Linked DNA regions of Caenorhabditis elegans. The protein of the gene in region 1 purifies or fractionates together with the protein of each later gene. This does not show direct contact. Each region holds a gene or a part of one and is shown in the gene's direction. Other genes may lie near its edges. The genes, in order: pole-3 and hxk-3.

Region 1 (15,451 bases):
CTGCGTTGATTCACGTTTTATTCCTGCCGAAGTTTCTTGCTTAGGCTTTTGCTTTGGAGTCTTCGTCTGATCATTCAGTTGTTTCTCCAACTTTTGCGCACAATATTTCTCCTTTGGGTTAAGTGCTGTATCTTTTCTCTTGTTCTGCTTCTCTGGGGCTTCAAGTTTTACATTCTTTTCTACTTTTACGTCTGGCTTTTTCGTGGAAGATTGTACTTCTCTCTGTGATTCTTGATATCCTCGACGTCTCTCTTCTGCTCTTCTACCACATTGAAATGGAAATACTGAGAATACTAAATCTTCGTCTATCGGACACGATTTGACAACAGTTTCATCGGGTTTCCCATTCACACTTTTAGCGTTCAAGAGCGAGTAGCTGTAATTATTCTTTGTTAGAAAATTCGAAACCGTACGATAAATTATCTCCTTACCAATGATCACTTTCAACAAAATGGGCCAAATCGAAATCTACATAGTAGAAGGCTTTGGAAAGTTCAAAATCCTTCGAGTTTCGCACAAGATTTCTTGTGAATTTTATTTCGAACGTCATCTGAAAACACTTTCCTTGGGTTAATGTTGTTATTTCGTGATACAATTTTATACCGTCGAAGGAGTGCTGAAATTTTTGTCGGCCACTCGGATAGCAAAAATGAAATCCGCTTTCTTTTCGAGAACTCCTTCGGCTTCCCAGCACTTTCCAAGTAGAAATTTTGTATCTGCAAGGATGAAACTTTTATGAAAAATAATAAAAAAGGAAGTTCTTACTAAAAGGAATCTTCTTAAATGCATCATTCTTGCTTGTAAATGTAGCATATTGTTTACCATTGGATTTCCAGGATCGATGCAATCGAATATCCGAATCAGAGTTTATAAGCTCACGTCGAAGATTTTCATGCTCTTCCTCTTTTCCAGTGAGTTTTTGTAGACGATCCTCATAATTATGGTCGATTTGAATAGTGAACAATTCGTTTTTGGAGAATACAAAATTTTTTGTTTGTTTTTTAACTCCTTGTAAGGTAAGCACAATCTGAAAATAAAAAATATAAATTAGGATTTTGTAATAAATAAGTCCATTTAAAAAATAATAACTAAAAAGTGTGCGTCTTTTAAGATTACGGTAATTTCAAATTTTCGTTGTAGAAGAACAGCAGAAGAATAATTTTTTATTAGTTAAAAAACATTTTTAAAGTAATACTTTGGTTTTCGAATAAATAATTTTTTATATTTTTTATTGTGAAAATATAAAAATTGATGACCACAATAACGAAACATTTAAACTACAGTATTTAGTCATTAAAGACGCACACCGTTTTACATTAAACAAAAATTTGTTGTGTCGAGACCGGGTTTGGCGCAAAAATTGCCAACTTTCACGTCTTTGGATTTAGCATCATGATTCAAATATTTTCAGGCATTTTCTTTTTTTTTCCTGTTCATGGAAAATTGTCTGTAAATTTTTAATCAGCACGAGTTTTAAAAATTACAAAATTACAAGTTAAAAGTATAAATAATTCTCACTCCATCTTTCATAACTCTGCTCACAACAGCCAATACTGTATCCCGATCACTAGTAGCAGATTGAATGATTACATGGTGACCAGTGAGCAACTTAAAGTGTTGAAGCTTTCTCTTCGCTGATGTTACAATGAGACGAATGTAAGCATAATTGTGAAGGATATCAAACCACGTTTTGATGCAAACGTCAGTGACAGTGAGTTCACCGATCTGAAAATGTCATGTTTAAATATTATTCGCTTGTATTTAAAATTAGACTTACTTTGTCACATAATTCATCAACATTTTGAATAGTTTGGTAGCCAGAAAGAATGTCTTCTTCACTTGCAAGACTCGCCAAGTCATCTTCATAACCATCATCGAAATTCAAGTAATATGTGGATTCTTTCGATAATTGAATTTCTGCATGGAATCGAGCAAAGCCGGTAAGACCGAGAGTTATCTGGAAAAGAAAGATTTTTTTAGTGAAAAATCATTCATCAGTACCGTAAAAACATTGTTCTTTGTGTCGGTTTTCTTTTTGATTACATCCACCAAAACATCTCCAAATTCTTCAATATCGTCACTCAGACGCAGTGGGGCTCTTTCCTGGACATGTAATAACTTTTCAGTATCAATTGGATCAATGCAAGTCATTTCGAGTTGTGTCAAATACACATTTTTCCATATTCCATCATACATTCGACGATGTCGTTCACGCCTTGTACTGATCAATTTCCAGCCGTTGATAGATCGAAATAGGTCAGATTGATCTTGAATATTCACTGATATTTGTTCTTTTTGTTCTTGTACAACTGATTCATCTTCGATAAGTTCTGAATTAACAGATGTATTTGCATCAATTGCATAAAGAGAGCTTGTTGGGGTTGATAACGCTTGCATCCAAATATCAGTGTCTTCCCAGATTGGAAAGTCTGATTCCGATGAGACGGTCACCTGAAAATATGTTTTCTTCGGGAAAAGTAATATGAAATTGATTTTCGAAGGTGGTGTCAGGCTGTCTCATTACAGTTTGATCTACAAAAAATCGGGATTTTTTCCCAGAAAAATTTAACTTTACACGGACGCTTTTTAGAGAAAAAATCGAAAATTTCTGTCGCTTACAGAGAAACTTATGAGAGATTTAGGTGCCTTCGCTACGAGATATTCCCGCGCCAAAATGATAGGCATTCTCATGATCTCATGGTTTCTTAATAAATGGGTAAATTTTTTGCTTTTTACAAAAAAAACTAGAGTGCAAATGTTTGAAATATTCGAATTTAAATTTTGAAAAACTTTTTTTGATGTTGTTTGGAATTGGAAGATTTTTTTCGCTTTTCCGTTTTGACTAAAAAAGGTTTTTTTAATTCTGTACTGTAAAAGTTTCGATGACGCTAATTAATTTTTGAAAGATTTTCCGAAAAACTTGTATTTACTCTTTCTAGGTGCAAAGATGTTTTGCAGTAGCTTTCGTTTTACAATTTTCAAAACTCAAATTCAAGTCGAACCTTGACTTTTTTCTCTATATACTCAAAATCGACGACACTCCCTCTGCACTGTTGGTGAAAATTCATTGAGGATGAGTGACATAAAATGACTTCTTGATTTTGTATCAATTGTTCCAATTGTACACCATCCTCTTCGTCCACCTCGTTTTTCGATAATATTCGAACTTTTTGCTCTTTTCGAGAATCTGGTGTTGTGAATCTTTTGACGAATGGAATATGACTTAAGACATCCGCCCATAGAACTTCAGCCCGTGACGATCTTCCAGACGACGTAGATGACGCGTTACTCATGTGTTCAAGATCATTTTCACGAGGCTTGCTGGTCGTAGCATCCATGAGAAATCCAATTACCAATTTTTAAGAATTAACTGCAAAATTTAAAAAAAACTATTTGATAAGTATAACAGAAATAATATTGAAAATTTGGCGAAAACCACCAAAACGAACCAACCGTACATTCAAAATTAAAAAAAAGAAAATTCATTCATCGGCTACACTAAAACAAAAATTACAAGAGCAAAAAACACATTCATCGATCAACTTCTCCGAAAACGATATCCATAGTTCCGATAACAGCAACAATATCAGCGATTAGAGACATGTAGCATACGTCGTGAATTGCGGCAAGATGGGCAAAACCAGGAGCACGGATAAAGCATCTGGAAATTATTCAAACTATTTTCATATTTAGTTTATTGAAATCTATTATTTTTACGTCCCTGTACTATTTTGTTCTCCAGTTTTTATTTCTATCAGTACTGTTCTGATGATGACAATCATTTTTTGAATGCAGAAAATAGAGTATATTGTATAAATATAAAACACGTATGTTTTATACTATCACACTGAGTCACCCCCTTACCGATACGGTTTTCCCGTTCCATCGGCCACGAGGTACACTCCAAATTCTCCCTTTGGAGCCTCAATCGGTACATATGTAGCTCCAGGCGGTACTTGGAATCCTTCAGTGAAAAATTTAAAGTGATGAATAAGCGATTCCATGTTCTCTTTCATTTCAGCTCGTTTCGGTGGCACCACTTTGTGATCGTCGGATTTAATTTCTCCAGTTGGCATTTTGTTGAGGCATTGATGAACAATGTTCAACGATTGTCTCATTTCTTCTACGCGACACAAATAACTGAAAAATGAGATAATGATTGAATGTTTCCTCTCTATTTTTTACCGATCATAGCAATCTCCCTTTGTTCCGATTGGTACATCGAATTCCATATCGGCATAGGCATCATATGGTTCGGTTTTTCGAACATCTTGCTTAATTCCACTTCCACGAACCATCACACCACTGAATCCCCAATTAAGAGCATCGGATGCGGAGACAAGGCCTAAAATAATGAAAATTAGAAGATATTGGATTTCATTATGCTCTCAATGATGTCACACTTACCAATATCAACTGTTCTAGCTTTCCAGATTCGATTTTCTGTAAGCATATCCTCCAGTTCATCGATACGAGCGGGAAACTTCACAGCCCAATCATAAATATCATCCATTAATCCAACAGGAAGATCCCATGCGACTCCGCCTGGACGAACATAGTTTGCGTGCATTCTTGCACCTGAAACTCGTTCTGAGAATTCGAATAATTTTTCGCGTTCTTCGAACATCCAGAAGAATGGGGTCATAGCTCCAACGTCGAGGGCGTGTGTGGTGATTCCCATAATATGATTTTGAATTCGAGTGAGTTCGCCGAAAAGAACTGAAAATATGTTTTAAAATGTTAAATTGCGATACTCGATTCATATAGCTCACTTCTGATATACTTCGCTCTTGGTGGAACGTCAATCCCCAACAATTTTTCAATTGCCAGAGAGAAAGCTTGTTCGTTGCACATCATGGATACGTAGTCAAGGCGATCGAAATACGGGAGTGCCTACAATTTTATTCGAATTCGAATTGAAATTTGTTTCGACTCAACCTGTGTGTAGGTCTTGTGCTCAATGAGCTTTTCTGTAGCGCGATGTAGCAGACCAATATGTGGAATAGCTTTAATGATGACTTCTCCTTCCAGCTTGAGAACAAGACGAAGAACTCCGTGAGCCGCAGGGTGCTGTGGTCCAAAGTTGAGAATCATGTTTTCCAGATTCTTCTCTCTGAAATAGAATTTAAAAATCGCAAAAAAAACGTTGCAGCAACCTCTTCTTTCCCTCATAATTGTCGCTGAGCACCGGATCGCTGTATGCAAGTTTCTCCAATTTGTCAAGTCCGATTTGATCGTCGAAATCGGATACGCGTTCTGACATCCAAAGTTTCCCAAGAGTTCCGCCAGTCTGAAATCGTGAAAATGCATTAAAGTATATGCAAACAGTAATACCTTGAATTGACGTTCGAATTTAGCGTCAGGATACCAAATTGTGTGAGAATCACGATTAGAAATAGCTGGCCTGGCGCATGCTACCGCTCGAAGAGGATGCAATGATCGCGAAAGCATCTCTGAACAAATTTACAGTAATAATTTACAGTTAAACTTGAAAATTCAAGGAGAAAACGTGTAAAACAAATATTGCTAATTTCAAATACTACCGTAGTCGCTTTCAATCGTTGCGGGACCCTACTCGAGACTTGCTCCTTGCGCCTTTAGGCTATTCAAAGATTAAGGTAGCGCTTAGCAAAATGTTTAACTTTCGAAAAATTCCGAATTTTTCAAAATAAGAGTATTCGTAAAAAAATTTCCTACTTGAATCTTTGGGCTTTTTAATCTTTCTCAAACGCCCTTTATTTTCCCAAAAAAACACACTTTCTCTAAAAAGAAATAACTAAATTCCAGAATTTATAAGCAATTATTCATAGAATTTGCAAAGATAGTGTTTCCAGTGCTTTTTCGAGCGATAACAACATTTTGCTAGTAGAGATTGTGGAATTTTTGTTGACGATAGTTGATTAAAAGTAGATTAAAAGTGTTAAAAATAGATTTAAAGTGTTCATCATATATTTTTAAGCTCTTGGTTTTTTCCAAGAGCTTTGCTATGTTTCAAATTGATCTTCTATGCATCTATTACTTTTATATTCACCCTCTTCCTTTTTCCGGTCTATTGTATTCAGGAGTTAGAGTCTATAAACACATTCATGCTCGTCTCACACAACAACCTCGCAGTTTCTTCCAACGCCCTTCACTTTTTCTTTTTTTTCTCCTTCTTCTCGCTCCCACCAACACCCCAAAACATTTTGAAATACGCGGGCACGCGCCTGTTTGCATTTGAGTGCGCGCGCATTGCCCCGACGACAGCCGAGTCGCACACTCCAACACAGCCGGGTCGCGTGCGACGCGGCTGTGCAGCGTGCGACGCGCCCCGCCTATCTCGCTCTCGGCTTCGCTCAGCCATCTTCTCTTTCGTCTCCCAATGCCACCCATTCCTCCACTCTTTGAAACTGTTATCTTTTGGCTCACTTCATTCTCCTCCACTTTCGATATCTTTTCTCTGTTGTCTTACGAATGCTGCTGCTGATAAATGCGTACAATCTGATGTGTACTCTTATCGAAAAAGTAGCCTGTTTGTTGACATGAAATATCTTTTGAAAAAAGTTCCCGATGACACATAACTGGGGAACTCTTCTTCTTTCATCTATTTCATTATTTCTAAACTGTTCAGATTTAAACAATTCACGTCAAAAGTTTTTCATGTTGCGGGCGCAAATACTCTGTACTCAAGTGCCTCCGAGCTTTGCAAATTATATTTTTAATACTCTGAAGAGCCTTATTCGTACTAACATACTCCTGTTTCGTGTCATAAATTGGGTCGCTCAAATAATTACCTTGCCGTTCTTCCATTATCCTTATCTATCTCTTTGACCTCCGCATTCCGCATTCACAACCGTTATTATAACTACTACCGAGTACCCGGTGTTCAATTAATTTAATTTTGTATTTTTTGCAGCCAAATCCGTTCAAAATGGTTGACCGCAAGGCTGTGATCAAGAATGCCGACATGTCCGATGACATGCAACAGGACGCCATCGACTGCGCCACCCAGGCCCTCGAGAAGTGAGTTATGAGCTTTCTCATTGCATTTTAAACGCTTGAATAATTCGATTGCCATGAACAACACTTGGTCGCTTAGTAGAGAAAAAGTGTAAAGAAATGTCGTTTAGCTGTTTGGAACGGCTCATCGGTCCCTTGATTTAAACTAAAGTGGACGGCAGCCCGAGTCTAGGGGAGGGGGCGAGCAGGAGCGACCAGCTGATCGAACAAATCTGATCCTTGTGCAAGAAAAAAGCGAAGCGATGAAAGTCTAAAAAATAAAATCAAAACATTTTTTTTTCAGATACAACATCGAGAAGGATATTGCCGCTTACATCAAGAAGGAGTTCGACAAGAAATACAACCCAACCTGGCATTGCATCGTCGGAAGAAACTTTGGAAGCTACGTGACCCACGAGACTAAGCACTTTATCTACTTCTACCTTGGACAGGTCGCCATCCTGCTATTCAAGTCTGGATAAATCCCATCCTGTTCTTAAAAAACATTCAATGATCTTTAAATTGTGACCTGATCCTACGTGTACCTTAGGTGGCGTAGGATCTTCAGTGTGCACTCTTGTTAAATCTTCCTTTTCCTCCCAAAAAACATTTTCCTTCGTCGCATTCTATTTATTTAGCTCAAACTGTTCATTTTCTTTGAATCTTCCTCCATCACCCATAAATCTTCTTACGTTGTCCGTTTTTGAGAGAAAAGAGAACTCATAATATTTTTGTTCTCGAAAAGTGCTCGCACTAAAAGTAAAAATAAAAGGATAGCTTTAAATCCCTTAATTATCTGTGCTTCATTTTTATACTCGAAACTGAACAAGGCAATAATTTAAGATAGAAATGTCATCAAACGATGTGGATCAAAACGATGATCGAATTGCTCAAATGATGATGCCAGCAGCAATTGTGACTCGGCTCATGAAAGAAGACAATATTTCTGCATCAAAAGATGCTCGAGACGTCATCGCTCGTGCTGCAGCAGTGTTTCTCATAAACTTGTCCGACGTTTCGGCTCAATCTGCTCGCGATCAGAAGCACAAGACGATCTCAGGAGATGATGTTGTCAAAGGACTCCGAGAGCTTGAGAATACTTCTATTCACAATCATGTAATTATGGGTTTCGAAAGAGTTAAGAAATTAAAATTTCCAGTGCAAGTCCGCCAACGATAAATGGAAAGTTATTAGTCAGCAGAAGGCTCTCGCTCGTAAAAATCCAGTTGAATCCAGCTCTGTCAATGCTGAAATGGATGACGACATTATTGACGATACTCCTGTCGATGGTTAGTTCTATTCTTTAAATCTGAAGTTTATCTGAATAATTTATAATATTGCAGATTCATTGATGAACTGATCACTCATAACCAACTCATTCCTGCTCAAAACGATCCTTCCTGTAAAATCTCATTCCGATTCTCAACGCGTGTCCCACTTTTGTCTCTAACATTTCACTTTGATAAACAATTTTGGCCAATAGTTTATTGAATGTACAAAACCCCGAAAAAAAATTAAAGCGATCTGAATGCCCCCGAAAAAGTGCCCATAAATAAGTGAATCGGCATGATCAATAAAATAGCGAAAAATGAGAATTGAATAATTGCACGAAGTTTGGCGAATCCATTGTCTGGAACTCGAAAGTCTGCACCAGAGGTAGCTGATCTCTTCCACATCACTTCCCAAGAATCGAATTTTTGCTCCTGTGTATTCTTCTTGAGCCGTATCAATTCATTGCAATTATTTGGGAATCCACGAGAAAGTTCAATAATTTGACGACTCAACTGCTCAGAATCATCGAAAAGATATCCATTAGTTTTCTCCTCAACGAGCTCATCAATACATTTGAATTTTAGAGCCAATGCTGGAACTTTAGCTCCAAACATATCAACAACTTTCATCGGAAGATCCAATCCAGACGTGCTTGTGTGCAAAGAGATTCCTAAGTCAGCAGAGGCTAGAATCTTTGGATAATCTTCTGCTTCCAACCATGGAGTCAATACATCGACATTCTTCAGATTTTTCTCGTGAATTTCTTGTAAATATTTCGCTTTCAGTGGACCTTTTCCAGTGATAATCATCAAAACTCGCGGGAGTCCGATTGTTTTGTCATATGCAACCAGCGCATCGAGAAGAATTTCAAACCGTTCATCAGGTGTCCAGGATGTGGAAGAGAGAAACACAATGGGTCGAGTTGTTAGTAGCTGCACTACTCCGTTCGAAGATTTATGAGTCAGAATTGTGGAGTCTTCGTCTTTTCCTTGTAGAATTCGTTCCTTTTGTGAAAGTCTTAGATACAAATCATGGATCTCTTGTATTGTTGTGTCTCTGAAAATTTCGAGATTAATTTTCAGAAATTTCACATTTGTTCAAACCTAAATTTCCACGTCGGCGGCCTATCATAGAATGTGCTGGCTCTGATGCCCCATCGATCCATGAGATCTCGACGCATGGCATTTGTTACACACAGATTATAATCGGATAGTTTTCCACATAGACCTTCTAGGAATCCAACACATCTCACAATTCTGAAAATGTAAATTGTTCAATACGAGTTTGATTTATTGTACAGACGCGAATGTTTTGGCTAAAATACGTTGCCCGGTCTCGGCACGACAAGTTTTCGTTAAATATGAAAGGTTATGCGCCTTTGAAGAGTACTATAGTTTCAAATTCGTTGCTGCAACAGTTTGATGTGATTTTTCCAGTTTTCGTAAAAAATATTTTTCATGGGATAAATTACAGTACTCTTTAAAGGCGTATGTCATTCTTCGTTTCACAAAGATTTGTCGTGTGGAGACCGAGTACCGACTGTTTTTTTTCGCGTCGGGGAACAATGCCGGTGTCCAATACTCACTGGGCTTTTTTGGTTTTTTTATCGTTTCCAAAAACTTGATCATCGGTCAATTGGTATTTATTTTGTAGAATTGAATACATGTAATTGTGCCAATCAATTGAGAATTTTGCGAATTTGAATATGGAAAACTGAAATTAAAGTTGATATTTTATAACGGTAGTCAGTAGAATCCTACCATGAAACAAACTATCATCGTCGGAAGCGCCGGCGGATTCTGCATAAGAATAATTCTTAAATTAAAGGCGCTTGTTTGAAAAGCGAGAGCCAAGAAAAGAGTTATAAAGTTCCAAAAAAGTTTCAGTGGAAGTTGCACGAAAGCTGGTAACGAATCCATGAAGTCAGGAGGTGGCGGGATTCCAACTATTCTGAAATTTTATTTATTTGGAAAAATTCTTTGGATGATTTGTAACTAAATTTATTTTTTTAAACGGAACAACTTTTTTGCAAATTTTTTAGATAAAAATTTTCTGAAACTCACTTTATCCTTGGATGATTCATAATTTGTTCTCCTGGAATAGAATCGAAAAATCCAATAAGTTTGACATCAAATCCTTCATCAGCGAGCATTTTTGCGTGATTACACATTCGTGGGCTTCTGCCGACATCACCAAGAACGACGACTGCGGCTTCACTTCTAAACTGTTATTTTCAGTAATTTTTAAAAATTTTTTGTTTTACCTCTCGTCTGGCGATTCGTCGTCTTCCTTTGCCATTGTACGCCTATGAAGATTCAATTTTTTAAGCTTGAATTATGGAAATTTCCTATTGCAAAAGTATAGACTACAAGGAATTTCCACCTATTTTCCAGTCCGTAAACGATAAATTCTAACGTCTGCTTTATTAAAATGAAAAAACTAGAAAAGGATCAAGTAAACAAAAAATGAATACAGAGATACGGTTCATCAAGGCAAGTAAAGCTCTCGTGAATTGGTATTGGCATTTGTTTTTAAAAAAATACGATAGATAAAAAACAACGGATATCGACGGGAAATTAGTTGGAAACATTGAGATGCAAAAAAGAATTTCTGTACGAGAATCATCATCAGACCACGACGTTGCAGATAAAATTATTTTTGAAAAATGGGAGGAGTAAAAAACGGGTAAAGATAGATAATTTGGAATGAAAAATGAACAGCAATAGGTGTTTGAATAACATTGCAAATTGAGGTAGCTTGAAAAAACAATGGATGTGTTAATTCAAGAAATTCAGACAACTTTCGCAAATGCTGGAACTTAAAATAACACGAGATAACAACAAAAACCATATATTAATGGACATTAAGATAGAAACAAATGTTGGAAAATGAGAGCTTATATTTTGCGACAGAGCCCGAACTTGTTGATTAAGAACATTTTTGTTAAAAACAAGAAAATAATTGTAAATGAAAATGTAAAGAGGCGACGATCGATTCCTTAGTTGAATAGCAGATCAGAACTAGGAATCATTGATAGCTTTAAGTTTTCCGACGAGAAGCTTCAGCTCTGCAATCGCTTCTTTTGATGGAATCTTGTGCTTGTGCCTAAATAATACAAATTATAATATATAATTTCTTTAATACTATACGAACCCATCGTCATGATGCTGACTATGACTTTTGCGTCCATTTGACATATCCTTCTTCAAATCGCTGAGAGTAACCGGTGGTGGAGTGATTGCAGTTGGGTAGGTCGGCGAGCTGGCTATATTTATTGGTGATAATGAATCATTGACAACATCTATTGGAGAATCATCTTCAATTGAGTGACGATTAATGGACGACGTGTTCGGGAGCCAAGAAGACTGAAAAAATAAGAAAAATGTTTGCTAAAAATTGCATCAAAATCTTACTCTTGAAGGTGTTACAGTAGTCGGAGTGTATGGTGTATCAATAGATGAATTACGAGAAGAGTTGAAATCAGGTATGAAACTCGGACGACGTTCAGATGAGATCGAGGAGTGACGTGACGAGGGAGCAGATGCTCCCTCAGCAATCATCTTATCCTGACGAGACATTGCAGGCATATATACGCCCTTTTTCATTGCCGATCCTGCATCACTGCTTCGCCGTTCGCTCGACATGTGTTTTCGTAACTGATATTCGTTTGTCGATGAGACCATTGCTGGAGATGAAAGTTTTGGTTTTTGATGATGGGATGGTGATGGAGTTGGAGCAGCGTTCGGACTGGGACGATATTCTTTGTGTTCTTTATTTCTTGAAGACGATGGAGTTTCATATGTGTCAACACTAATTGCCTCATCTGGAATTAAATTGATTTTTTGAATTTTAAGTACGAAAATTTCAAATAAGACTTACATTTAGCTCTTTTAGTTGGAGGCTTCTGTCCATCGTAATGATCATTATTTGCTTCATTTATATCATCAAAAGTCGTGAAAACTGGAGTACTGTGCTCTGGTTCCATACTTTGCTCGCGGCTTTGACTTCCTTCCTCACTTCCTCGTTTCGGCTCAATCTTGTAGAGATTCTTTTCAATATGAAGTTCGACGTTCTTAAAATAGTTAATATTAAAATTGAATGAACAAAACAGATAAAAACTCACATTTTTCGTTTTTCTGTATGCTGACTTGAGCTGTCCAGTTCCAAGCTTCATCATCTCCATTCTGGGATCATAGTTATACGGATTTGAAACAACTGGATCGATTTGAATAGATGAAGTTGGAAGTCCACCAACAAATGCCGGCTTCTCTGGCTTTTTCTTTTTAGATTTGCTCGATCCTCCTCCATGAGCAGCTCTGAGCTCTGCATCGAGTTGACTTTCCAATTCAATACGTTCTCTCTCCTTCTTCTTCTTTTCCTTCGAAATTTTGTCTTTCTTACTCTTCGAATTCCTTCTCTTCTCGTCTTTTTCAACTTTCTCCATCTTTTCCTTTTTGTCCTTCTTTACTGACACTTCTTCTGATTCATCATTTTTAGCACCTGAACGTCTTGAACTAGAACGTCTTGTAACTGGAGTTGGAGTATATTCTTCGGCTTGATATTCATCTTCTTCTTCCTCCTCTTGATCTTCCGGCTCTTCGGCATCGTATTCCTCTTCCTCCTGATCATCACGTTGCCCAATTCCTTCATATTCCTCCTCAAATTCTTCTTCAAAACCATTAATATCCTCTTTAATTTCATCTTTGGGTGCAGGAAGATATTCGAGAGGTCCTGATGATGGTTGTTGAGGCAATATAATAGGCTTATCAGTCACTTCCGATTCTAAAAGCTCATCGGGAAAGTTATCAACTTTGAATCTTGTGCTTCTTCTCGCAGATTCTTGTGGTACTTCTTGCGTCGGCTGGAAGTCATATTCACCGGTTTCCATGGTGGATCGAGTCTGAAAGTTAGATTTTCAACCAATTGCAATAATTTTCAGAAATAATAACAATATAAAAACTTACATATCTTCGAGGCATTATCTGGTTGAATTCAAATTTCTTCCCTGTCTGAAAGTCAAAACAATTAAAATTTAAAAAAAAAACAATTTGCACACTTTAAACGATAGTGAGAAGTATGAAGACTTGGGCAACTACAAAAAAAAAAACATTTTGAAAATTTTAATGCAGCACAAAAAGGAATTTATTCTCGACGCAAATTAATAATTAGTATTAGAATTGTTATATCTTTTTGTGAACGGATTATTAGAAAATTTACAGATTATGAGATTATAATAGTGAGATAGTGAAGGAGATTGAACGTGTCGGTGTATGTGGTATGAGTCGATTGACTTTAGTTCGGCTGAAAAATTAGGAAACTAGCATTATTCGCCACTAAGTAGTGGAAATTTGAAAAAAAAAGACAGATGGATCTTTGCGAGATATTTACAAAATTATGAGTGCCCCGGTTGCAAATTATTAAACAGACTGTAAGAGATCATTCGATCGTCTTTTAGAATCGCGCGTTTCGCAGTACAATTACCGGCTGTAACAATGGATGTGACAATTAGATGTGGCAAGTGACATTAACAATAATTTTACACAAAAATAGAGCACTAAATGTAAATAAACTTAGTGTTAGTGTAACTAAAAATTATCGAAATAAACGTTTGTTCAGGGCAGAAAAGAATAACAGCTCATCAAACAATTTTTCAATTATACCTAAAAAAACCTAGATCAGATAAGTTTTTCTCACTATGCCAATAGCCTGCAAAATAATACGACAGTTTGAGGCCATAGAGACGCATGCAGAACGAGATGAAGAGGGCGATAGAGACGCAGGCGTTTCAACAGTCTTTCACTTCTCACTATCTACTACTTTCAACAATGTTTATCGGTCTTTTTGACTTACCAATTCAGAACGTCTTTTTTTCAAAACAGTTTGGAATGTGTTAATGAGAGACGCTGGCTGGCATATTCCTTCAGCCACTTCGACACGTGCTTTTCGACGAATATAAGTGCCAAGAGTTTCAAGTTCATCCAAAAGTCGAGGGGATATCCTAGAAATCTCATCATCGTTAAAGTAGATTGGCGGCTCGTGTCCAATTGGAAGTTTGTGGTCCGGCACGCATTTATTTCGAACAAAATCGTGCGTCTGAAAAACATGTAAATTTCGAGAGGAAACTTCATTGAATTCGATAAATTCTTACACGGTTCTTGTAGAAAATTAATGAATTTGAATTAGCTAGTTCATCGATTTCAGCATCGCGTCGAGCATCCATTTCTTCTGAAATTCATCAATTTTATTACTGTCGTGTTTAAATCTCCTTACCTTTAGTTTCTTGATACTTGACTTCATCTTCGTCAGCTTCTTCTTCAAGACCCGTGTCAGCTGAAAACGTTGCTTTGCTGACCATAGGATAACCAAATAGTGAATTCTCCGCGTGCATTGCAATCACTTTAACTTCTGAAAATTTCGATTTTAAAATCATATAAAAGAGAGAAAAATATTAAAAAGATCAAAGAAACCATTTTAAATTAGTCATTCATTCTTTTTTGACATTAAAAAATAAAAAATACTCTACCATCTTTTGTGGATTCCTCGTCTCCTTTAATCATATCGTTTGTCAATTCAACTCCAGTTTCGTAATCTGAGTATTCGATTTTCTTATGATGGCCACCAGCGGTTTTCCATTTGTCTCCAACATAGTCATATTTTGCATCTTCGATTCGAAGTGGTCTCACATATTCTCTTCCTGTCCATTGTTTTACATAATCAGCTATAACGTAGAAAATAAGTTCTTCATTGTACGGTAAGCGAAATTTTCTAGTGATCTGAAATGTTTCAAATTTGTTATTTACAAGTCTTCTGTAAAAACTCACATTCAACTTATTTTCAACTTGATAAACTCTTAATTGTGTTTTGCATGATTGTGAGTGAAGAAAATTGCCTCCAAAAACGAGACTATCATCTGGAGTATATACGGCATGAATCCATCCACTTGGAATTAGCATCGTGTCTCCTGGCTCCAAGATAGCCACGTGGCACTTTTCGACCGACTTTCCAAAGAACGCATTATCGTTGACAGTTTTAATAAATTCTTGATAAATAAAAAAGTTGGTTTCGGTTGGTGGAATCAACCAAAAGACTTTACGACCTTTCAGTACATGATACCACACAGATGTTCCACTAAAATCAATGTGAAAATCTGTATAACAGTTCGCTACGCTCATCAGGCAGTAGTTTTGAACTTTTGGAAAAG
Region 2 (16,922 bases), on another chromosome or scaffold:
TTTTTATGTAAAAAAAATTGATTTTGAAGTGATTTTGGCCAATTTTCCGGTAAAAAAAATTTTTTGTTTTCCCACTTTTTTGCCAGTTCTCAATAGATTTTTTTTTCCAAAATTTTGAATTTTCCAGGTTTTGCTCGAAAATTAATATTTTTAGCATTTTTCGATCAAAATCACCTGAAAAAATCGAATTTCAACGAAAATTCTGAAAAATTCTTCCTAAAATTACGAAAAACCGGGCAAAAAAGATAGAAGTTGTATTAAAACCAAAAAAAAAAAAAAAAAAAAAATCAAAATTTTCCTCACAAAAACCTGCCACCTGCCTCATGCCTACTGCGGCTAGAGGTAGGTAAGATTTTTTTCCGTTTTTTTTAATGCCAAAATGCTTTTTTTTTTCGCTATTTTTTCCAAATTTTTTCGAATTTTCTAGGTTTTGCTCGAAAAATCATAATTTTGAGCTAAAAAATCCAAAATTTCAGCGATTTTTGCTAAAAATGTGACAATTTTCCGTTTTTGAAGCGATGATTTTCGCTGTTTTTGTACACTTTTTTTTTTCAAAAATTGTGCCATTTTTGACGTAAAAAATCCATAATTTTCCCAATTTCGGTGCCAATTTCCACATTATTCCACACAAAAATCCTCGATTCCATACCACATTATCATCGCCAGCAACTGAAAGGAATGATCCACACGGAGAAAATGATGAATGGTACAATGCACACGGAGCCGTCTCCAATAATTTCGCCTTCCACTCTTCAGTTTCAATATTTGAAGTACGGAAAAGTACCAAATTTCCCTCCATTCCACAGCTAACAATTGTATGTTGTCCATTATTTGTTACCGGGCACCATGCGGCTTCACGTACAAAATCTGTGTGTCCGGCTAGGGTTTTCTCGAGAATCCATTCGTTTGTAGCGTCGTCACTGGAGGAAAAAATATTGGTGATTTCGAAGGAAAATTGTCATTAAGAAAATGAATTTTTCTTAGGAAACCCCAATAACACTGCAACTTTTTCCTCACGAGGGACGAGGAAAAGTGGTTTCTAGGCCATGGCCGAGGGGCCGACAAGTTTCAGCGGCCATTTATCTTGCTTTGTTTTCCGCGTGTTTTCTTTTGTTTTTCACAGCTTTTTCCCGTTTTTTCTTATTAAAACTGATAAATAAATATTTTTTGCAGATGCTAAAACAATTTCCAAGTTAAAAAATTATGTATCCAGTGGGCAAGCAGCGGTGAAAGTGGGCAATGTAAAATGATGGATTACGGGAATACAAAACCTAAACTTTTTCTGAAACATGATACATATGCTGCTTAAATGCTGAGACTACCTGATTTTCATAACGAGTCCGCTGAAAAAGTTTTGAGGTTTCCACAATTCAACTTTTTTGGTAAAAAAGTCGAGATTTTCGCACAAAAAATTGAATTTTGAAAACCTCAAAACTTTTTTAACGGTCTCGTTATGAAAATCAGGTAATTTCAGCATCTAAGCATCATATGTATCATGTTTCAGAAAAAGTTTAGGTTTTGTATTCCCGTAATCCATCATTTTACATTGCCCACTTTCACCGCTGCTTGCCCACTGAATACATTTTTTTTTTACTTGGAAATCGTTTTAGCATCTGCAAAAAATATTTATTTATCAGTTTTAATAAGAAAAAACGAAAAAAATCGATGAAAAACAAAAGAAAACAGGCGGAAAACAAAGCAAGATAAATGGCCGCTGAAACTTGTCGGCCCCTCGGCCATGGCCTAGAAACCACTTTTCCTCGTCCCTCGTGAGGAAAAAGTTGCAGTGAGAAACCCCAATAAATTCGACAAAATTCAGTGGGAAATCAGCTTTTGGGCAGCTTCAAAATTGGGATTTTCCAAAGCGAACCCAAATTTCTGCATTATAATGGGGAAATTTTTTTTTTTTTTTCGAATTTTCACCAACAATTTTGTTTGTAGCGCGTCGTCACTGTAAAAAAATGGGTAATTTCGCGGAAAAATTGTCAAAAAATGGATTTTTCAAGAGGAAATTCAGGAAATTCGACAAAAATTTCGAAAGAATATACTTTTTTTCTGATTTTTCAGCAAAAAAGATTAATAAAAATTTCCGATTTTGGGGGTTTTTTGAAATGAAACTGCGAAAAATCTGGAATTTGAGAATTTTTTGCAAAAAAAACAGCTTTTGGGACAAATTTTCAAGTTTAAATTATTTTTTGAGTGATTTTTTCAGTTTTTTTTTAATCAAAAAACCGAAAAATTGGATGTTTCAGGGGGAAAATCCAGGAAATTCGACAAATATCTGTTAAAAAATATCCAAAACCTGGAAATTTTGAATTTAACACGATAATCTGAAATTCGGGTAGAATTCGCTTTTACTTTTACAATTTTTTAGAAAGAAATTTATTAAATGGTCGGATTTTTAGTCTTTTTTGATGGAAAACTGTGAAAAAATGGGTTATTTCACGGAAAAATTGTCAAAAAAAAGGATTTTTCAAAGGAAACTCTAGAAAAATCTGGAACTTTGGCGAAAAATTTCCATTTTTTCTCGTTTTTCGCGTCGTCACTGGCAAAATAATGGGATTTTTCAGGTGAAAATTTAAGAAATTTGAGAATTTTCGGTGAAAAAATACGCTATTGGGTCGAATTTTTAACTTTAACATTGTAAATTTTGAGAATTTCAGAAAAAAAAACAATTTTTTCATTGATTTTTCAGAAGGAAATTTTTTTTAATTCTGGAATTCAGGCTTAGGCTAAGGCTTAGGCCTTAAAAAAAATCCGAATTTAATTTTTATTTTGCGAATTTTTTCATCCCAGAAAAACTGACTTTTTCAGGGGAAAAATCTCAGAAATTCTTGTGATTTTAGCAAAAAATCAGGTAATTTTGAGGGAAAAATTTGAATTTTTCAAAAATTTCCGGTAAGAACTGCACTAATTTGTGATTTTTAAACAAATTTTGGATCAAAAATACAACTTTTTTGGGAAAATTTCATAAAATCTGCCAATTTTGCTGAAAAAAAAGTAAAATTTTACGACTTTTTTTCCGAGAAGTTTTGGCAATTTGAGGCTTAGGCCTAGGCGTAGGCGTAGGCTTAAGCTTAGGCTTAGGCTTACAAAAAATCTGACTTTTGAGAACCTGAGAAAATTGCGGTTTTTGTATTTTCCATCGAAAAAACGTCAAAATTTCACGTTTTTCGGGTCAAAAAAAATCTAAAAAATCTAAAAAATCGATTTTCAGTGCATTTTCTCTACTCACAAAGCCCAAATCTTGACATTTTTATCATTTCCAGCTGAAACAAGACGTTTTTTTGCCGCCGGATCAGCACTTCCAGGTGCCCAACACACTGAATTAACTCCTTGTTCATGACATTTCTGAATTTTCGACGAAATCCATTCGTTGCTCGAATTGTCGTATCGAAGAATACCGATATCACCGTCAGCAGAGGCAGAAGCCAACATTAGGCCATATTGGTGTGGTGCAAAGGCCACACAAGTCGTACTGGCCTCATGAGCGGCCCATTCGTAGGCTTTTTGCCAGCGGCCTTGTTGTTCGTTCCAGATTATCACTTTTCTGGAAAGAAAATCGATTCATTTGGGGGAAAATTGGCTGAAAATCTGTGAAAATTGATGAAAAATGCCTGAAATTAGAGCAAAATGAGCTAAAAATTGCAAAAAACCCGTGAAAAACTACTGAAATTCATGGAAATTCCAGAAAAAAACGTTGGATTGGGGGGTAAATTGGCTCAAAATTCCGAAAAAAAAACTATGAAAATTGAATAAAATCGATAAAAATTACAAAAATCGGGGCAGAAATCGACTAAAATTCGGGAAAAAATTGCAGAAAATCGGTAAAAATTTCATAAAACCCGTTGAAGTTTTTAAAATTTTGGTGGATTTGAGGGAAATTAGGCTTGAAATTCAAAAAAAAACTGTGAAAATTGACCGAAAATACTGATTTTTCTTTAAATAATCCGTGAATTTAAAGGGAAAATAGCGTAAAATCGGTGAAAAATGATCAAACTCATTGAAATTTCAGAAATAGGCTGCATTTTTCAATATTTGTGTCCATTTTCTTCCAAAATCACTCTGTTTAACCAATTTTTGGCAAAAAACCCAAAAAATGAGCTGAAAACCGATTAAAAACAGAGATTTTAGCGTATTTTTATGAAATTCTGATCGAATCTAGCAAATTTTGATCATTTTTCCGTTTTTTTTTCCAAATATTCCGTACTTATCATAGGAAGCGGAGGCAAGAAGTCCTCCATATTTCGGATGAGCCCATGAGACTTTCCAAACGGGACCACTGTGTCCGACAAGCTCCGCCATCGGATATGACTGGCCATTTGGGCGAACCTGTAATATTTTTATATTTTTTTTTGCGTTGAAATTATGAAAATTCTGGGATTTTTGCAGAAAATCCAAGATTTTTCGCCTTTCCTGACCTCAAAAATCTTCACAAGACGGTCAGATCCACACGTGGCGAGTCGGCTTCCGTAGATGTTGAGCTGAGCGTCGTGCTGCAATTTTTCAGAATTTAAAAAAAAAAAATAGATTTTCTTAGCTAAAATTCAGATTTTCCGACTTACAATTGCGTCACGATGTTGTGTATCGATTCTCTGGCGGACCGTGGTCATTTTTCAGCTGAAAATCTAGAAATTTCGAAAAAAATCGCTAAAAATTGAGTGAATTTCGGCAAAAATTGAATTTAAAAATTGCAAGTTGGAACGATCGAGAAACGCGTCAACACGAGAAACGCGCCAGCAAACGATAGCTGGCGTGTTTCTCGTGCGCCAAGGAACGTGGATTTAATCACGAGAAAATAATAATTGATGGAAACCTGGAGAATTCGAATGGGAAATTGTTGATAATTTGATAAAAATAACAATTTCTAGTTCTACTTTTTAAGATTTTAAATCAAAAACAACTCAGGGAACCTTTCAACACAGATTAAAAGATCAAAGTTCTGAAAAACAACTTTCTTAATTATATTGTCCTTGTTTTTTCTTCTGTTTTGATTTTTTCTTCTGATCATCAATATCAACACGCCGTACTTTGAAGTCTGAAAAAAAGATTCAAATGAAAAAAAAACACATTATATTTTGTGCTTAGCCTCCGTGTGTCTTATTGCGGGTCGCGTGACGTCGTCAGCGCAATTTTTACGATCATTTCTTTCTGTCATGATCATCAGTTTGATTTTCTAGCGTGATTTGGAGGCGAAAATCAATAAATTATAATAGTTTTTCGCTTATTCCTGTTTTAAAACATGTTTTCTATATTTTTATTGAGAAACTTGAGATTTTTAAAAAGAAAACTTTAAAACCCGCTTGTATTTTTGCAATTATCTTATTTTTTTCAATTTCTTCGCTGAAATACTTGAAAAATTGCAATTTTTGCTGAAAATAATTCCAAAAAGTGTGCGCGGCAAGTAAAATGCATTGTACGCAATTGCGTATCAATGCATCTAACCCGACGCGCAGTTTCAAGGTTACTGTAGAACATTTTGTTTTTTTTTGTGTTTTCCCCAATTTCCAGCCGAAAAACTCGAATTTTATGTGTTTTCCAACGTTTTTTAAAATGTTTTTTTTTGTAAAAATTTTAGAAAGTCAGCAAAGTTAACGTTTCTATCGAAAAATCCAGTTAAAAATCAAAAAATTATCGATTTTTCGGATTAATTTGGAAATTCAATCGAAAATGAACTATTTGAGGAAATTCTGGCAGTTTTTGCGGAAAAAAATTGAAAATTGACAGAAAAGTCGATATTCTAACAGAGTTTTCACGCAAAATCTAAAAATGTTGAATTATTTTTCGATAGAATTTCGGGGTTTTAAAAATTTTTAGGACAAAAATCAATAATTTCCAGAATTTTTTTGAAAAAAGTTTCGAAAAATAATAGTTTCAAGAAGCATCAAAATCGTAAGTTTCAGTTTTTTTCAAATTTCCGATAAAAATCCCCAAAAAGTAAAAAAAAATTTTTTTTTGAAAAAATCTGTTATTTGTGCCGAAAAATCATTAAAGCAAATATAAGAAAACTATTATTTATCTAAATTCTTATAGAAAATCCAATTTTTTTTATAGAAAAATCAAATTTAAAGAAAAAAAAAATCAATAATTTCCCCCAAAAGAATCCTGCCACCCCAAAAATTATCAACAGAGCACAATTGCATCATATTCCATAAAAAATATCATTTGGCACACTGCCAAGTCTTCATCACACCAACATCTCTGCACTCTCCACATCTCTGAACCCCCTTCTTTCAGTGTCTGCGTCTCCACACCCTCTACACTCTCTCACCCTGGCTGAGGTCCTCTTTCTCTTCAATTCTGCACGTGCGGACTGCCCTTTTTATTGTTTTTCTCCTTTCTGCCACTTGATTTGATAGATAAATTATCAAAAAATCGATAATTTTAAATTTTTTGCGAGAAAGTTGGAAAATTCCAGAAATTTTCCAAAAAAATCCCTGTAAATTTGTTAAAGTACATAGTTTTTCCGAAGAAAATCGACAAATCTCGGAAATTCGAGGTTTTTAACCGAAAAACACTGCAACTTTTTCCTCACGAGGGACGAGGAATAGTGGTAGGGGCCGACAAGTTTCAGCGGTCATTTATCTTGCTTTGTTTTCCGCCTGTTTTCTTTTATTTTTTCACAGATTTTTCCCGTTTTTTTCTTATTAAAACTGATAAATAAATATTTTTTGCAGATGCTAAAACAATTTCCAAGTTAAAAAATTGTGTATTCAGTCGGCAAGTAGCGGTGAAAGTGGGCAATGCAATATGATGGATTACGGGAATACAAAACCTAAACTTTTTCTGAAACATGATACATATGCTGCTTAAATGCTGAAATTACCTGATTTTCATAACGAGACCGCTGAAAAAGTTTTGAGGTTTTCAAAATTCAATTTTTTGTGCGAAAATCTCGACTTTTTTACCAAAAAAGTTGAATTGTGGAAACCTCAAAACTTTTTCAGCGGTCTCGTTATGAAAATCAGGTAATTTCAGCATCTAAGCATCATATGTATCATGTTTCAGAAAAAGTTTAGGTTTTGTATTCCCGTAATCCATTATTTTACATTGACCACTTTCATCGCTGCTTGCCCACTGAATACATAATTTTTTTACATGGAAATTGTTTTAGCATCTGCAAAAAATATTTATTTATCAGTTTTATTAAGAAAAAACGAAAAAAATCGATGAAAAACGAAAGAAAACAGGCGGAAAACAAAGCAAGATAAATGGCCGCTGAAACTTGTCGGCCCCTCGGCCATGGCCTAGAAACCACTTTTCCTCGTCCCTCGTGAGGAAAAAGTTGCAGTGAAAAATAGGCATTTTTCAAATTTTGAACGTTTTTCTTTTTAAAAAATTGTTTTTTCGCACCGGAAATCTTGAAAACACGCTATTTTTATAATTTTTTAACGATTTTTTTGCAAAAACTCAAAAATATCAATATTTTCACGAAAATTATTTTTTTTTAAACAGAAGCTTCGGAAATCTCAGAAAACAATTTTTTCCACAGAAAATCGTGAAAATTCGCTATTTTGTAGAATTTTTGCAATTTTTTACCATTTTTCTGCAAAAACTCAAAAAAAAATTAATGTTTTCCCGAAATTTCTAGAAAAAAAACGTATTTTTCTCAGAAAATTTCGAGAAATTCAAATTTTAATTTTTCGTCGTTTTCGCTTGACATTTTACGCATTTTTACCGAAAAATTACTAATAAAACACACAGTTTTCCCAAGAAAAATACAAAAATAACAAATATATTCGATTTTTTTTTGAAAATTTCAGAAAAAACTTACTATTTCGAGGAAATCCTGAAAAATCCAATATTCCGGCACTTTTTTTCCACAGAAGCCAAATTTTAAAAAAGTTTCTTTAAAAAATTATCAATTTTTGTCTAAAAATGGTTATAAAAGTTTTTTTTTGGAAAAAAAACCCTATTTTTACCGAAAAATCACTGAAAAATGCAATAAAATGCATAGTGTTCCAAAGAAAAATACAAAACTGACGAGAATTCAATTTTTTTTTCGAAAATTCCAGAAAAAAAACTCCAAAAATCGACGAAATTCAGTTTTTCCGGCACATTTTTACCAAAAATTTCGATTTTTTCTTTCTACAAAAATAGTAAATTTTTGTCTGAAAATTGTTAAAACTACCTATTTTTCATTAAAACAAATACTGATAATGTAGAAAACAACTTTTTTTTTCAAAGAAAAGTTTCAAAAAAATCCTATTTTTCCCCGAAAATTCCAGAAAAAAACCTAATTTTCACGAATTCTCATATTTTTTTTCCACAAGAAATCCTGAAAAATCACGAAAAATTCAATTTTCCGGAATTTTTTTTTCCAAAAAAGTCAATTTTTCTTAAACTTTCTAAAAAAATTGCCAATTTTCTCTGTAAATCGGTTTTTGAAATTAAATTTTTCTTAGAAAACCCCCTATTTTTCCTCAAAAAATTCAAAAAAACCTTCCTAAATCCCAAAATTTTACAGTAATCTCCACAAAAATGAAGGTTCTACCACCAGAAGTCGAGGAAATCCTCGCGAAATTCCGTTTAAACCGTGAACAACTTCAAGAAATCAGCGAAAAAGTGGAGCAACAAATGAAAATGGGTCTCGCAAAGACTCAAGGCTCATCGATTGCAATGTTGCCGAGTTATGTACCAGCGTTGCCAGATGGAACAGGTAAAAATGCAGAAAAATGGAAATTTAATGAAAAAATCTAAAAAAAAAACATAAAAAATCGTCGATTTTAGCCAATTTCGAAAAATCCCAAAAAACAAAACTGATAAAATTAATCAAACATTTCTGAAAATCGAGAAAAAAACCATTGGAATTTAATTAGTTTAATTAATTAAAAATCGTGAAAATTTACTAAAAACGACAAAGAAATTCAAATTTTGCTTTGAAGATTCAAAAGTTTTACGAATTTTCATGGAAAATAGGTAAAATTGAAAAAAAAAACTAATTTTAATTGTAATTTTATAGAAAAATCTACGAAGTGGATTAAAAACTCTAAAAAAAATTGATTTAAATGTGAAATTTCAGAAATTTTGTTTATTTTTGATTTTTATTGAAAAAAGCTGAAAATCGAAAAAAAAATTCAAAAAATTGCGTAAAAAATTATAAAAATATATTAAATTCCTTGAAAATCAGGAAAAAAGTCGAAAAATTAAGTTAAGACTTACAAAGTTAGTGCAAGTTTAAAAAATTCACTGAAGTTTGACAAATTTTACAGAAAATCGCGAAAAAAATCGCTAAACATTTGTTAATGCAATAATTTTACTTAGTAATTCCGAAAAAAATCATTATTTTCATGAAAATTTGCCTAAAATCTCAATTTTTAAAGAATTTCCTAAAAATGTCAAAAAAAAATCTGAAAAATACTATAAAATTTAACAAATTAAAAAACTAAAATTCAGAAAACTTAATTTTTAAAGGAAAAATCAAAAACATACAAAAAATTCCAGAAACCGGAAAATACGTGGCAATCGATTTGTCGGGAAAGAATCTTCGAATAATGTTACTCACAATGAACGGAGCCGGAACGACGCCCACGCATGAAACAGTCAATTATATAGTAGCTAATCATGTTATGAAGGGAACCGGTGATCAGGTAAGCAAAATTTGTGCGAAAAATTTGAAAATTTCCGAAAAAACAGCTAAAAACACTGCAACTTTTTCCTCACGAGGGACGAGGAAAAGTGGTTTCTAGGCCATGGCCGAGGGGCCGACAAGTTTCAGCGGCCATTTATCTTGCTTTGTTTTTCGCCTGTTTTCTTTTGTTTTTCACAGCTTTTTCCCGTTTTTTCTTATTAAAACTGATAAATAAATATTTTTTGCAGATGCTAAAACAATTTCCAAGTTAAAAAATTATGTATTCAGTGGGCAAGCAGCGGTGAAAGTGGTCAATGTAATATGATGGATTACGGGAATACAAAACCTAAACTTTTTCTGAAACATGATACATATGATGCTTAGATGCTGAAATTACCTGATTTTCATATCAAGACCGCTGAAAAAGTTTTGAGATTTTCAAAATTCAACTTTTTCGGTGAAAAAGTCGAGATTTTCGCACAAAAAGTTGAATTTTGAAAACCTCAAAACTTTTTCAGCGGTCTCGATATGAAAATCAGGTATCTTCAGCATCTAAGCATCATATGAATCATGTTTCAGAAAAAGTTTAGGTTTTGTATTCCCGTAATCCATCATATTACAATGCCCACTTTCACCGCTGCTTGCCCACTGGAATACATAATTTTTTCACTTGGAAATTGTTTTAGCATCTGCAAAAAATATTTATTTATCAGTTTTATTAAGAAAAAACGAAAAAATCGATGAAAAGCGAAAGAAAACAGGCGGAAAACAAAGCAAGATAAATGGCCGCTGAAACTTGTCGGCCCCTCGGCCATGGCCTAGAAACCACTTTTCCTCGTCCCTCGTGAGGAAAAAGTTGCAGTGAATTACTGAAAAAAAAAGATTTTGGATTCAAAAGTTCTGAAAATAAATTTTTTTGGCAGAAATTCAAAATTTCTGAAATTTTTTTTTAGCAAGAATTTCAAATTTTCTGGAAAAAAAACATTTGGTGGGAAATTCAAATTTTCTGAAATTTTTTTGGCAAGAAAACAAATCAATCATCAAATATCGAAAATTTGAAAAATCTGTGACGTCACAAATTTTCAAAAAAACATTTCCCGCCGTTTGGAGCTTATGGGACAACAACCTGACACCAAATTTTCAAAGTTTCAATTCAAAACCCCGACTAAAACGGGCAAAAATTGGCGAAATTTCTCAACTTTCAGCTTTTCACATTCATCGTCAATTGCCTCCAACGATTCCTACAAGAATTCGGACTAGTTGATGCTAATTTACCTATTGGTACGAACTTTTTCACCGAAAATTCCGATTTTCCTGGAAAAAATATTAAAATATGTCTTTTCAGGGTTCGTATTCTCATATCCATGTGAACTATTGTCAATTCGTTCGGCACGTCTTTTGTGGTGGACTAAAGGGTTCGATATTAAGGATTGTTTGCAACGGGATATTGTAGCTCTATTGGAAGAGGCTCTCGAGATGAATATGGTAAAAATTCGATTTTTTCTTGAAAAACTATCAAAAAATTTGAAAATTTGTCCTTTTGTGATCACTAAAATCGGAAACCGTAAAATTTTCGATTCTACGAAAAATAGCTTTAAAATTTGGCAATTTTTCTTACGGTAATAAAAAGTTTTAAAAATGCGTATTGCACAGCATATTTGACGCGCAAAATATCTATCTCGTAGCGAAAACTACAGTAGCTCTTTAAATGACTACTGTAGCGCTTTGTTGTGGAATGGGGAGCCGACATTAGCTGCGCGGCGACTCAAGCGACGGCAGGATACGCAGCCTTTGGACGCCACCACTTCAGTCTTGATGCTGCGCTCGTGCCGAACGGTCGTGCGTGGCACTTCTCTCCCGACGCATCCCCCATTTTCCTTTGTAATTGCCCCTCACTATTATTCATGTACTTGCTCCGATATCCAAGGAGAACCCGACAAACTCCAATAACCAAGGAGTTTCCAGGCCTTCCCCCTACTTTATCCTCTCTCCCTCTTTTATTGTAATTCTTATAATTACTATATAAATTAATATATTTATACATTTGTTCTGTCACTAGCTCTATATTCAAGTCTCCTCGAGAGCAAGACCACCGCATTCATCCGCACTGCCAGAGGGCTCCTTCCAGACTATACATAATCTTTCTTCGGTCTCGAGTCACTCTTCGTTACGGCTTAAAGGCTCGGTCGCCGCCTCCGGGTGCCACAACACGCTTTTGTCGATTTATGGGCTCCATTTTTAAAGTGAAATCACCTATTTATCGATAGAATATTTAAATCAAAGGAAGCCCGTAAATCGACACACAACAGCGCTACAGTAGTCATTTAAAGAATTCTACTGTAGTTTGATATTTTGCGCGTCAAATATGTTGTGCAATACGCATTCTCAGAGAATTTTGAGTTCCCGTAATAACACAGTTTAATAACAAAAAACACTCGATTTCAGTCCACAAAAGTGAGCATCAAAGCAGTGATGAACGACACAGTAGGACAGTTGGCTGCTGCCGCACACAAATATGGTCCAGAATGCACAATTGGGGTGGTTATCGGTTATGGGTAAGGATATTGCTAGGTTGCTAACATTTTGCTCCCCCATTTTTTTATTACAATTTATTATTACCGTATATCCTCTAGGCAATCTATCCCATGCTCACATTTCCCATGCACACATTTCCCATGCTGACATTTTCTCCCGTGCATACAAAATATTCCCATGCTTACGCCCAGTAGTTCGAGTACTCCCATGCCTACAACTCATTTTTTCCCTTTTTTCCGTTCCCATGCTGACATTCTCATACATACATTTTTTCCGGTGCATACAAAATTCCCATGCTTACATCCAGTAGTCGAAGTACTCCTATGCATACACCTCATTTTTTCCATTTTTTTTCGTTCCTATGCTGACATTCCCATACATACATTTGTTCCCATACTTACAAAAATGTATTCCCATGCCGACATGGAACAGTTTTGTGCTCCAGAAGAGCACAAAGTCAATTTTTTTGCTCATTTTCATTGTAATAGGCTTACTTGACAGCTTTCAGTTACAACTGATCGCTTTTTTTTCAAAATGCATTAGTTCTCGATTATGAACAAGGAATCGAAGAAAAATGGGGATGACTGCCTATAGAGTAAAATTTTTTTTTTGAAAAATTTTTTTCTCTCTATTTTGTAGGATATAATTAATTCGGTGAATTCCACAACTTCAAATGTTCATATTGCTGTTTCCGTGCAGTTATGAGTTTCGCAGTGTCTTAGGAACATTCCATTTTTTGTTGCATTTTGTAGGAAATCGGAGCTATCTTATAATTTCTACAAATTAGAAAATCCATTTCGTACTATTTCATGTAACTTGAACCTATTGCTTCAAAAATAGCACAGAACGAATGTTGATTCTGTTTCTTTCATTAAAAAATGTGCTACTGTGCATTTTTTCCCACTTCTACGACTTTAAAGGCGCGCGAATTTTCGCGCAATAATCTCGCCACGCGCATCCCATTGATTTGTTGAGCGCTGGCGAGACCAATGACGGGACCATTTTGTATAAATGCGCGCGCCTTTAAAGTCGTAGAAGTGGGAAAAAATGCACAGTAGCACATTTTTTAATGAAAGAAACAGAATCAACATTCGTTCTGTGCTATTTTTGAAGCAATAGGTTCAAGTTACATGAAATAATGCGAAATGGATTTTCTAATTTGTAGAAATTATAAGATAGCTCCGAATTCCTACAAAATACAACAAAAAATGAAATGTTCCTAAGGCACTGCGAAACTCATAACTGCACGGAAACAGCAATATGAACATTTGAAGTTGTGGAATTCACCGAATTAATTATATCCTACAAAATAGAGAGAAAAAAAATTTTCAAAAAAAAAAATTTTTTTTGAGCAAAAAAAAATTTTACTCTATAGGCAGTCATCCCCATTTTTCTTCGATTCCTTGTTCATAATCGAGAACTAATGCATTTTGAAAAAAAAAGCGATCAGTTGTAACTGAAAGCTGTCAAGTAAGCCTAATACAATGAAAATGAGCAAAAAAATTGACTTTGTGCTCTTCTGGAGCACAAAACTGTTCCATGTCGGCATGGGAATACATTTTTGTAAGTATGGGAACAAATGTATGTATGGGAATGTCGGCATGGGAACGAAAAAAAAGGGAAAAATGAGTTGTAGGCATAGGAGTACTTCGACTACTGGATGTAAGCATCAGAATATTTTGTATGCACGGGAGAAAATGTATGTATGGGAATGTCAGCATGGGAACGGAAAAAAAGGAGAAAAATTAATTGTAGGCATGGGAGTACTCGAACTACTGGGCGTAAGCATGGGAATTTTGTATGCACGGGAGAAAGTGTCAGCATGGGAAATGTGTGCATGGGAAATGTGAGCATGGGATAGATTGCCTATCCTCTATTAGTAAGGCGTGCAAAACTAATTTTCGGACGCCTAATTTGATGCAAAACTAATAGAGGGTGCAAAACTAATTTTCAAACTGGTTTTTTTCTCATGTTTTCCATTAAGTTATGGCATAATATCATTAATTTCAGTAACACCTTGTGAACCAAAATGGACAAATTTTAAGGCTGATATAAAATCGTCGAAAAATCTGGAAAATTCTTACAGACTTGTTATACTAAGTCTGTAAGAATTTTCCTGATTTGTAAAACGATTTTATAATGCAAATTTTAAATTATTAAAAATAGGGAACAAATGAAGGGGTGCAAAACTATTAGAGGTGCAAAACTAATAGAGAATATACGGTATTCAACATTATTCAATGTATTTCCCATTAATGCTCGAGTAGATTGAAACGAATGTTCGTTATGAAAACAGTACTCCTACTCAGGGGTGGGCGGCAATTGCCGGTTTGCCGATTTGCCGGAAATGTTAATTTTCGGCAAAATTATCTGCTAATCTGCTAAATTTTTTGAAACTCTGCAATTATAGTGTTGGGGTACTGTAGGTACCAAGGGTGCCGGTTTTTCGAGAAAATAGTTAAAGTTGAAACAAAAAAGTCTTCGATGGAACCACTAAGTTTTTGGGCTTTTGCCTCTGTTTTTTTTCAAATTTTAACTTATTTTAAACCGAAAATCTGACTTTTCGCATATTTCTCCTTATGCCAAAAAAAACCAATTTTCCAGGTGCAACTCGTCATATCTGGAAAAAACGTCCCGAATCACGAAATTCGACGCAAAAGCTCGCGGTTACGATCATGATAACATGATTGTCGTCACAGAATGGGAGGAATTTGGAAAACATGTAAGAAAATGGGGAAAAAAGCGGAAAATTCTAGATTTTTTTGTGAAAAATTACGAGAAAATCGAAGAAATTTTAAGCTAGAAGAGAAGAATCTTAACTTTTTCGATATCCAAAAATTAAAATGTTCAGGGTGAACTCGACGATATTCTGACACAATTTGATCGGGAAGTCGACGCCGCCAGTGTGCACAAAGGAAAACAGCTGTAAGTTGATGTTCTCTGAAAATCACCGAAATTATGAAAATACACGAAAAATCACAAAGGAAATCTGGAAAAACGAAGGAACAGCCAATATTTAACCGAAAAATTGGGAAAATTAGAAGTTTCACATATTAAACTAACACAATCTCACTTTTTTTTTTAAATCTGATAAATATACTGAAAATCAACATGTTTTACTTAGAATTCAGCGATTATTTGAAAAGTGGCTTATTATTGAATTTTTTCGGCTTTTTCCATCCCAGTTGCCGGGGAATGCTGTAAATTTAGGTACGGCAACTCGGCATCTGAACTGAATTTCCCTGTATATTTTCTGTGACTTGTGTGTTTCTCTATCCGAATTGATGGTTTGAATAGTGGTATTCTCGGCTGAAATATGCAATAAATACCGTATTCCAACCAACAATTTGTGCAATAGAGCACACTTGTCACTGGAGATGCGGAAGCTATGCCCAAATTTTCATTTTTTTTTTGTTTTTAGTGTAAAATCTGGAATTTTGCAGAATCGATAAATTGTGCGGAGCCCTGTACATTGGTGAAGTTGTGCGACGAGTACTTTCTCAACTGGTTTTGGATAGGTAAGTGAAAAAAAGTCAAACTTTTAGTATTAAAAATTAAATTTTGGAAAATTTACGAAAAGTCACAAAAGAGCAAAAATATGCTCAAAAATACAAAAAAAAACAAAAATTTTAGCTTTTAGCTTTTTAAATGAAGGCATGTGAAATATGTATAATTTATGATTTTTGCAAAAAGTATAAAGTTACGAAGAAATTAATGCTATACTATTTTTTTTTTAATTTGATTTTTCAGAGTTCTATTCGAAGGACAATCGTGTGAAAAATTGGACGAAGACGAGTCATTCCCGACAAAATATATTTCAGAGATTTTGGGGTGAGTTTAGATGAATTTTGAGCAGAAAATTGAAAATTTTTTGTCGAAAATCCAAATTAAAGCATCGAATTTACAGTTGAAAATTCAAATCTTGACTGGAAAATTCTAAGAATGAGTAAAAATTCAAGTTTAAGCTGAAAATTTAAATTTCGATTAAAAAATTCGATCTGAAATAATTACTGAACACTGCAACTTTTTCCTCACGAGGGACGAGGAAAAGTGGTTTCTAGGCCATGGCCGAGGGGCCGACAAGTTTCAGCGGCCATTTATCTTGTATTGTTTTCCGCCTGTTTTCTTTCGTTTTTCATCGATTTTTTTCGTTTTTTCTTAATAAAACTGATAAATAAATATTTTTTGCAGATGCTAAAACAATTTCCAAGTAAAAAAATCATGTATTCAGTGGGCAAGAAGCGGTGAAAGTGGGCAATGTAAAATGATGGATTACGGGAATACAAAACCTAAACTTTTTTTGAAACACGATACATATGCTGCTTAGATGCTGAAATTACTTGATTTTCATAACGGGACCGCTGAAAAATTTTTGAGGTTTTCAAAAAAAAAAAAAAAAAAAAGTTTATGTTTTGTATTCCCGTAATCCATCATATTACAATGCTTACTTTCACCGCTACTTGCCCACTGAATACATAATTTTTTACTTGGAAATTGTTTTAGCATCTGCAAAAAATATTTATTTATCAGTTTTATTAAGAAAAAACGAAAAAAATCAGTGAAAAACGAAAGAAAACAGGCGAAAAACAAAGCAAGATAAATGGCCGCTGAAACTTGTCGGCCCCTCGGCCATGGCCTAGAAACCACTTTTCCTCGTCCCTCGTGAGGAAAAAGTTGCAGTGCAGAGATTTGAAAATAAAATTTTCCAATTTTCAGTGAAGAAGAAGGTGTATTCAAGGCGTGTCGACGTATTTGTGAAGAGCTTGAAGTTGAAATGCACGGAACTGGAGATTATATTATAATACGAGAAGTGTGT

Evidence for each region.
Region 2: the proteins of pole-3 (region 1) and hxk-3 fractionate together in Caenorhabditis elegans (co-fractionation; one large-scale study listed by BioGRID). This does not show direct contact.

The regions. Positions count from the first base shown.
Region 1 is NC_003281.10:6,455,224-6,470,674, reverse strand, and holds pole-3 (DNA polymerase epsilon subunit 3), read left to right. Parts: upstream 1-7,818; 5' UTR 7,819-7,827; coding exon 7,828-8,094; intron 8,095-8,137; coding exon 8,138-8,267; intron 8,268-8,321; coding exon 8,322-8,338; 3' UTR 8,339-8,459; downstream 8,460-15,451. Other genes in the region: T26A5.2 (ANK_REP_REGION domain-containing protein), read right to left, coding at 1-376, 432-559, 604-716, 766-1,027, 1,519-1,725, 1,778-1,957, 2,002-2,451, 3,003-3,338; nduf-2.2 (Complex I-49kD), read right to left, coding at 3,532-3,661, 3,865-4,140, 4,186-4,345, 4,408-4,719, 4,773-4,893, 4,939-5,113, 5,157-5,290, 5,335-5,451; dlc-1 (Dynein light chain 1, cytoplasmic), read left to right, coding at 6,911-7,002, 7,283-7,460; algn-1 (Chitobiosyldiphosphodolichol beta-mannosyltransferase), read right to left, coding at 8,493-9,306, 9,354-9,506, 9,836-9,963, 10,011-10,200, 10,314-10,469, 10,514-10,548; jhdm-1 (JmjC domain-containing histone demethylation protein 1), read right to left, coding at 11,271-11,355, 11,404-11,615, 11,664-12,073, 12,130-12,322, 12,374-13,150, 13,215-13,259, 14,101-14,343, 14,399-14,475 and 3 more.
Region 2 is NC_003282.8:1,491,395-1,508,316, forward strand, and holds the start of hxk-3 (Phosphotransferase), read left to right. Parts: upstream 1-8,467; 5' UTR 8,468-8,481; coding exon 8,482-8,659; intron 8,660-9,444; coding exon 9,445-9,590; intron 9,591-10,776; coding exon 10,777-10,852; intron 10,853-10,916; coding exon 10,917-11,056; intron 11,057-12,016; coding exon 12,017-12,126; intron 12,127-14,710; coding exon 14,711-14,828; intron 14,829-14,957; coding exon 14,958-15,031; intron 15,032-15,549; coding exon 15,550-15,624; intron 15,625-15,856; coding exon 15,857-15,937; intron 15,938-16,822; coding exon 16,823-16,922. Other genes in the region: npp-20 (Protein SEC13 homolog), read right to left, coding at 650-920, 3,236-3,550, 4,211-4,332, 4,422-4,496, 4,566-4,613.